Linked DNA regions of Mus musculus. The protein of the gene in region 1 purifies or fractionates together with the protein of each later gene. This does not show direct contact. Links are inferred from orthologs where the notes say so. Each region holds a gene or a part of one and is shown in the gene's direction. Other genes may lie near its edges. The genes, in order: Rhou and Pak1.

Region 1 (3,908 bases):
TCTCACTTGCCACACTGCATGGTTGCATATAGGATCCCAGGTAGGACGCTGTCATTTCCTTTATGGAACTCAAACCTGTCACTTAGCATCTCTGTACTTCAGGTTGTCCTGGCTGTAAAATGGGTATAAGTAATGCTAATATTAAAGGAATTCGTTTTGACAGAATGGTTACAACAACATCTGGGACATAACAAAGGCTCAGTATTTAACTAGCTCTTGTCTTTTTTTTTTTAAGATTTATTTATTTTATTTATATGAATACACTGGCTGTCTTAAGACACACCACAAGAGGGCACCAGATCCCATTACAGATGGTCGTGAGTCACCATGTGGTTGCTGGGAATTGAACTCAGGACCTCTGGAAGAGCAGCCGGTGCTCTTAACCACTCTCCCTTTCTCTCGGCCCCTAGCTCTTGTCTTTACCACCAGCAAAATAATATTAATATTAACAGCACACAGCTCTTCTTACACCAGAAGCAAATCAGAAGCATTAGTGACCAGGCAGAGAAAGGGCAGCACAAAATGAACAGACAATTAGCTTTTCAGATAATACTACGGCAGCCAAAATTGCACTTAACTAAAGACTGTAAGGAAATTTGCTGGACCATGAATACACACAAGGTCACAGCATGCCAAAGAGAGGGAGCGCTAACAAAGGGTGGTATCCTGCATCCAAATGAGAATCAATGATTTTTAACAGAAAAATCATACATTTGTCTGCAATCAAACTTAAGTCCTACTCATCAGGACTGGCTATCAAGACAATAATCTCTCCTGAGGGACTGCAAAAGCAGGCAGGCCCCACAGCACTCTCCCCCTCCAAACCAAGACACTTGTGTGGAGGAGCAAGGGCAGCTGGAGGAACAGGAAGAGTGGAAGAAGCAGGGTGATCATGGTGAGAGGGAGACCGCGGAAAGGAGGTTGTGGAGTAGAAAGAGAATAGGGGGCGACCTAAGGAGGGAGAAGGAGGAGAGGGAAGAGAAAGAGCCGGGAGGGAAGGGGGAACAGAAGGATGGGGAGGAGGGGGCAGGGCAGGAGGAACTGGAGAGCAAGAGGAGGAAAGGAAGCTTGGGAAGGAGCCGGGAAAGGGGGGTGGGGGGATGAGAAGCCCACAGCAGGGGCCAGGGGTAGCTCGGGGTCCGCGTGGGTTGGCGTGGTGGAGCCAGCTAGTCCAGCCGCACCGTTTCGAGGCGCCGGCGTAGTTCACCAGCGCGGCGCGCAGACGGGGGCGCTGTGGTCTCGGATAGAAGAAGGAGCCGCCGGACCCGCCTCTTTCCCCGCCCGCCGGTGTCGCAGGGAAGCCTGGCGGAGCAGGCTCGGCCACATCGCGGCCGCGCGGGCACAGACGCCCAGCCGAGTGCGGACCGTGCGCCGCCTTTGTCCGCCGGTGGCAGCTGGTCTCGCGGCCGCCGCCCCGCGATGGCCCCGCAGCAAGGCCGGCCGGCGCTGCCCGCCCGCTGCGAGCCGCCGGCGGCGCCGCCGGTACCGCCTCGCCGAGAGCGCGGGGGGCGCGGGGCGCGCGGGCCCGGGGTGTCCGGGGGTCGGGGGCGCGCGGGCGGCGCCGAGGGACGCGGCGTCAAGTGCGTGCTGGTCGGCGACGGCGCGGTGGGCAAGACCAGCCTGGTGGTCAGCTACACCACTAACGGCTACCCCACCGAGTACATCCCTACGGCCTTCGACAACTTCTCGGGTGAGCGCCGGGCGGGGCGCGGCCTCGGGCTGGGAGGCGCGGGGCGGCGCGGGTCTCGGGGCAGCGGCTCGGCGAGGTGGCAGCGGGGTGTCCGACCGGTCTGGCTCCGGGATTCCGGAGCGAGCTGCAGCTCAGGTGGCCTTCCCACCTGCGCCCTCCGGGGCGGCTCACTTCCAGCGGATCTTCGCCTGGAGCAACCCGGATTGCTCCCGTGTGTGAGCCGGCCAGGCGCACCAAGGAGGGCTGGGGCTTGCGAGAACGTTCCTTTCTTCTGAGCCCAGCGCCTGCCTGGCCTGCGCCCCGCCTGCGCTGTCTCGGTTTCTGACGGTTGGCCCAGTCCCTCCAGCTTGGCGTTTAGTTACAGCAAGTTCTCAAGGGTGGGTGGGTTCGTGGATCACACAAAGATAACAAAAGTAAAGCAATCATTTCTCTTGATTTTTTAAAAAGTCTTTCAGGAATTTAAGAAAAAGTTACAAAAAAAAAATCACATTAAGCTAGTGTGAAAAATCTTCCTCCTAAAAAATTTACCTCCGACTTCCAGTCTCCGTGGCCAGTCTCTAATTTCAGAGACCCTATGGATAAAACAGAAGTGCATGGTGCCCCCTCCACCGCTCACTAGCATAAACATTTATAAACAACCAGAAATGCTATCAGAAGGAGACAAATTGCCTAATATAAGCTGAAACCTCCGAGTCTTTACTGGATGGGGGGTCCTTGCTCTCACCCTATCTCTGGACCCTGGGGGAAAATCTGTGTGGCTTCTCTCTGCCAGCTTTTCTTAATCCTCTTTTTGAACTGACAGAGAGAAGTGCCCATTTCCACACACGCACGGGTGATAGGCCGCCTGTGTTTGCACAAGTTCTCAAAACTGCTGGAGTTTTATGATAAACCCTGAAGCAGGGAGATTTTTTTTTCCCAAGAGAAAACAGGATTATCTATGAGGTTGTCCACTGATTTAAAAGTGCAGAGTTGGTTTCCCACCTTGTGTTGTTTCTAGGCTCTTTGAAACAAGGGTGACAGGAAAATTAATCTTCCAGGCTTGAAAGGAAAACAAGCCTTCCGGGGCACCTTCTGGAGGTCAGGGCTTTGCTGCTTCATGCTCTGTGGTGGAGGGAGCCCCCCACCTTGGAACATTTGTACACTTCCATGGGTTTCTGGGCGTAGCCAAGTCCTTAGTTCACTAAGAGAACCCAGAGCAGGAACTGCCAATCTGCTGAGAGGGTAAAAGATGTCCTGATAATCATCTTGCTCTTTTTTTTTTTTCTTTCTCCCAAGCCGTGGTGTCTGTAGATGGGCGGCCTGTGAGACTCCAGCTCTGTGACACTGCAGGACAGGTCGGTATCAAGTTACACAGCTCAGGCACTGGGAAAGGAAACAGCCTTTTAAAGGTTTCCAAACAACCTTTGCAGTTTCCAAATGATTCCCTTAGTAACTGGGTCATTGTGAAACTCGCCGAAGCAGGCCCACCCCTGCTTCATCTCCTTTGAGGGCAGTGGGAGGAGGCCAAGAAGGACACCTCGGGGCCAGTGAAACAGGGTCGGCCTGTTCTGGGAAGGAGCTGGGGAGGCAGCCATCGCTGCGGGAACTGCCCCTTATCTTCATAGGACTTTCGGGTACCTCTCATGGCCTAGCTTAGGCTACAAAAGAAAAACCACAGGAATGGTTTGTAAGCGTTTCTCAGAGGAAGCCCCTCATGTCCTATAATCCATTGATTCAAGGCTAATGAACCTGAGACTTAAACGCTTGTTCAAGGAAAAAAAAGAAAAAAAAAAAAACCAGTAGCTTATGTTAACAAATGTCTTTCCCTGCTCTAGAGCAGTGGTCAGAGTCACCATAAATGGAGCAGGGAAAGGCAGGGCCACTCTGTTTGGTCATTCTTGTCTCGGGGGCAAAACACTAGAAAAGGAAGCCAGGCAGGAGGCATAGGTGTAGGACCCCCTGAGTGCCCCACAGAAGGGTTAAAGCTGCCCTAGAAGCTGTTCTAGCCACTGAGGTCCTAAGTACTCAGGTGCCCAGGTGACAGCAAACTCTGCTCTCCCAATGTCTGGAGCTGACAGGGTACAGTGGGGATAAGTAACCCCTTTGCTTCCCTGACTGTCCGTGCTAAGGAAAAAGCTGGCCTTCCTGTGTCTCCAGATCTCATCCAAGCCAGGGCCTTTAGCTAACTCATTACTGTAAGACAGCAAACTTGGGACTCGGGACTGGCTTATTCTTGAGA
Region 2 (3,908 bases), on another chromosome or scaffold:
TAGTGAGTGATGATGGGAGATACTGACTTCTGGGTGTACAGGAAATATGTGAAGGTACATTTTTTAACATTTCAGTCTTAAGGAAGCACCGTTTATTGGGATGGGGAAGACCAGAGTTGTTTCTTTAATGTGTCATCCAGCTCCAAGTTCTATTGTAGTGACTGGTATCTGACAAGTGCTAAAGAAATTCTGAGAGTGGTGTAGGGCCTACTTCATAACTCTGTGAAATAGACATAGGTTTGTAAAGTGTGGGGACACATAGTAAATAGCCCTTAACAAATAGTAGCTGTTGCTGAACTTTCTCTGTTCAAAGGAGGTGGTTGGTATAGGGACCACCTTATTATCTTTCATGGGACACATTTTAGAGAGTCAGCAGAAAAGAATAATTTCCCCCTCTCCATTCTAGTCTGAATGAATCTTGAATCTAATTTGAGTAGGTCTTGATTCCGGGGTTCAAGAGGACTCCCACAGGCTCTAGAACAGCTGTTCTCAGCTTATAGGTCCAGATCCCTTGAGGGGTTGTTGAACTACCCTTTCACAGGGGTCACCTAAGACCATTGGAAATGTCAGATATTTACATTACAATTCATAGCAGTAGCAAAATTACAGAATTACAAAATTATGAAATAGCAACAAAATTAATTTTATGATTGGGGGTCACCACAATGTGAGGAACTATATTAAAGAATCGCAGTGTTAGGAAGGTTGAGAACTACTGCTCTAAAAAGCCTGTCTGGTACCTCTTGTTGGAGCCTGGGTTGGGAGAACAGCAGAGACAATCAGAACATTGGTTATGTATTTGTTTCCCGCCCCTCAGCGCCTCTTCAGAAAAAAAGGGGCGGGGGCAGCGCTCTCCCCGCCTCCTTTCCTTCCTTTCTCTGTTCCTCCCTCCCTCCCCGCCCCTTCACTAAGCCTCTGTGTCTTTGCTGCCGCCCTACGTGGGCCTGAGTGTGCTGCGCCTTGGGAGCTGGGTGGCTGCGCTGCGGCGCTTAGCCGAATCCAGCCTGTCAGGCTGGTTCAGCCCGGGCTTTGTCCCAACTGCTGAGCAGGGAGAGGTGCGGCTCTGCGACAGATACACAAGATCATCAGAGATGCTGGGCCCCGGACCCACCGCCAGGTAATGCTGGCTTTCCCTGGGCCTGGCATAGCTAGACTGAGAGCTGGGGTAGAAGGAGCGGGTGTCTTTCTGCCTTCCGGGGAAGGGAATGGGGAGAACATTACATTTCACTTATATTAAGGGATTCTTAATAAGGAAAGGGCCTGGTGGTGTAACATTGAGATAAGCCCCTCAGGGCTAGGCCTGTGCTGGAATAAGGCATCTGGCTAGGGAAGGTTATGAAGGGGAAGCTGGATTTTTTGGGGAACTGCATGCCTCAGGGGCCCCACTCCTTTGTAAGCATGCTTCTGCATGGTGGCCAGGGTGATGCTTTTCTGTGCCTTGGTTTAGCTGCGGTTTTCCTGGGACCCGGAATACTGTTCTCTGGTTGGAGATGTAGTGAAGATAGGAGACCCCTGCAGCTGTTCCTGGTCAGGCAGTCTCTATGAGCCTTAATTTCCTTATTTGAAGAGAAGGGCTTAGCATTCTGTAACTGTGCCTTTCCTAGGCTGTAAAATTTACCTTGGAAAGGTGAGCTAGGTAGAGACAGAGGAGCCAGCCTTCCATATGCATCTTGCCGGTCTGTTTAGAACCAGTGACTTCATAAAGTGCTAATGCTTCTGTTGGGGCTAAGAGTAGATATGTTGAGTGTGGGGTGTGGGGTTGAGAAGAAACAGGTGAACGCATGCTAATTTTTTTTCCTGAACTGGCCAATTCTTTGATACTTAGATCACTGCTATAAACTAGGCTGTCTTCTCTGGTGCACTGTTATTGATCTGCTAAGTAAATAACAGACCTTGACACTATGTAATATCTTAATCACTGTAATTCCTTCCTTTATTATCTGGCACCAAGAAATACAAATACTAACCTATGCTGATTATTTTGGACCTTTCTCATCTTGGTTACAGAGGAGCTATGCATTCCCTCTGGGAAGCCTTCCTGCTCTTCCTTTCTTCCTCCTCTTCCTGCTGGTCGGCTTTCCTTGCCTGCCCCTCACCTGTTTTCTGATCTCACCAGTTTCCTTTCTTCCTTTCCTTGTCTTCACGCTTTCCACTTCTTGTCTCTTTTCCTTCCATAACCATGGTTTCTTTTTTCTGTTTTCCTTTTTCATTTCTTCCCTGGGTCCTCTTCTTCTTGGTTAGGCTCTCTTCTCTTTTCCTTTTAGAATCTTTTATTGTGCTTTCTCATTGGTAGTAAGTTGCTGACTTGGAGGGACCTTTGCTGTGATGTTTGTAAGGTCCAAACATTCTAGCTTCCTTGTTTTGGACCTAAGCTCTGTTTTCCTTATGTGTCAGGCTGTCTCCTTACTGCCCTCAAGCTGTGTTTTGAGGCTTCCTAATAAGTAGTTATTTTTCCTGGGTTTATTCCCCATCCTTTTCCTTGAGAACCAAGGCAGAATGTGGGCAGAAGGAAAAAATCATGGTAGGAAGTCAGGAGCTTGAAGGCTCGAGCTGGAGAACAAGTACAAATACAGCTAGCTAGGAGACCTTCCTGAGAGCCCCTCACTGAGATGAGGGCTGGGAGATAGCCAGTTTCCAGGGGCACAGTGGGATGAAGAGAAGAAGGGGGAGTCTTGGGGCAAGAGTGTTCTTTAGGAAGAAGAGGGTGGCGTTGGCATCAAGATGGGGGTTATTAGGGGGTAAGGGTAGCTGTAGAGGGAACGATTTATAGGCTATGTAAAAGATGTGTAGCCATATAGGTTCATTGTTTTCCCTCCTGATGGTAGGCTCTCTGAAGAGGATTATTTTTGCTCTGCATCTTTCTCCCCCCCCCCCACCCCCCCGCCCTCTCCCGCCCCGTAGTGTCCTAAAGTGAGAGAGTCAGAGGGGAAACAGAGATGAGACTGACAGGGTTATTGTTTCATTGACACTCACTAACTAATATATGCAATGTGTGTGCATGTGTGTATGCATATATACACACACACATACAAGATATCAATTTGGTATCCATCATTAACTGTTCTCTCTGGTTGGTGAGAACATTTGCCACCAAGCATGATGAGATCTGAGTTCTATTCCCATGTTTTATATGGTAGGAGAGACTAATTCCTACGAGATGTCTGGATATGTGAGCTATGGTATGGTCTCACCACTATCCCAACGCACACATGTATAAATAGATGTAATTTTAAAAATAAACATTCTCTCAGTCACCTGTAGTATATTAGTTATGGTGCTGGTTGCTGAGTACTGTTGGTTTTTAAAGGAGGTATTTAGATTCATTTGCTGTGTTCAGATGCAGGTCTAGGGGTGGACCCTCATGTGTAGTGTAGAGGGGAGCACAGGGAGCTATGATAATGTAGTGGAGGAAGACTAAGGTTCAACAAATCAGTGCCAGGGCTGCACTGTAAACTCAAGTCTTCTTTAATTGTGATACACATTTACTTAGACTATGTTATCTTGTGACATTAGGTGCATGTTGTATATAAAGAATTTTCTTGTTTTTTTTTTTCTGTCTTTGGGAATAAAATGTAGATATTAATGAAATAGAAAACAAATTTACATGTGGTAGGTTATTACGCCCTGGCCAAACAAATTCTCAGAAGGAAGCAGACTTTGTCCCTGTTTTTTTCTGGCTGCAGGCCATTTAGGTGACTCACTGCTGAGCACCCTCTCTGAGTTATTTGATCCCTTTCTCTTCCCTGCTCTCTTATATTCAATTTCGGGCACAAGATAGAGAGAGTCCAGAGACCAGATAGGCTAGGTGTTTACTTCACAGACTTCTGTAAGATAAGAATGTAACACCCTGTAGGGCTGGTAGGAACCAGTGAGGCAATGGATGCATGAACACACTTTGTGCAGTGATC

Evidence for each region.
Region 2: the proteins of Rhou (region 1) and Pak1 purify together in Homo sapiens (co-immunoprecipitation; 5 studies listed by BioGRID and IntAct, with this or other methods). This does not show direct contact. The link is inferred for Mus musculus from reciprocal best matches to the Homo sapiens genes RHOU and PAK1.

Annotation. Positions count from the first base shown.
Region 1 is NC_000074.6:123,652,527-123,656,434, forward strand, and holds the start of Rhou (rho-related GTP-binding protein RhoU), read left to right. Parts: upstream 1-1,402; 5' UTR 1,403-1,419; coding exon 1,420-1,690; intron 1,691-2,965; coding exon 2,966-3,024; intron 3,025-3,908. UniProt on the Homo sapiens protein: Binds to and activates protein kinase PAK1. Plays a role in the regulation of cell morphology, cytoskeletal organization and focal adhesion assembly during cell migration. Also stimulates quiescent cells to reenter the cell cycle.
Region 2 is NC_000073.6:97,842,025-97,845,932, forward strand, and holds the start of Pak1 (serine/threonine-protein kinase PAK 1), read left to right. Parts: upstream 1-914; 5' UTR 915-1,117; intron 1,118-3,908. UniProt on the Homo sapiens protein: Protein kinase involved in intracellular signaling pathways downstream of integrins and receptor-type kinases that plays an important role in cytoskeleton dynamics, in cell adhesion, migration, proliferation, apoptosis, mitosis, and in vesicle-mediated transport processes.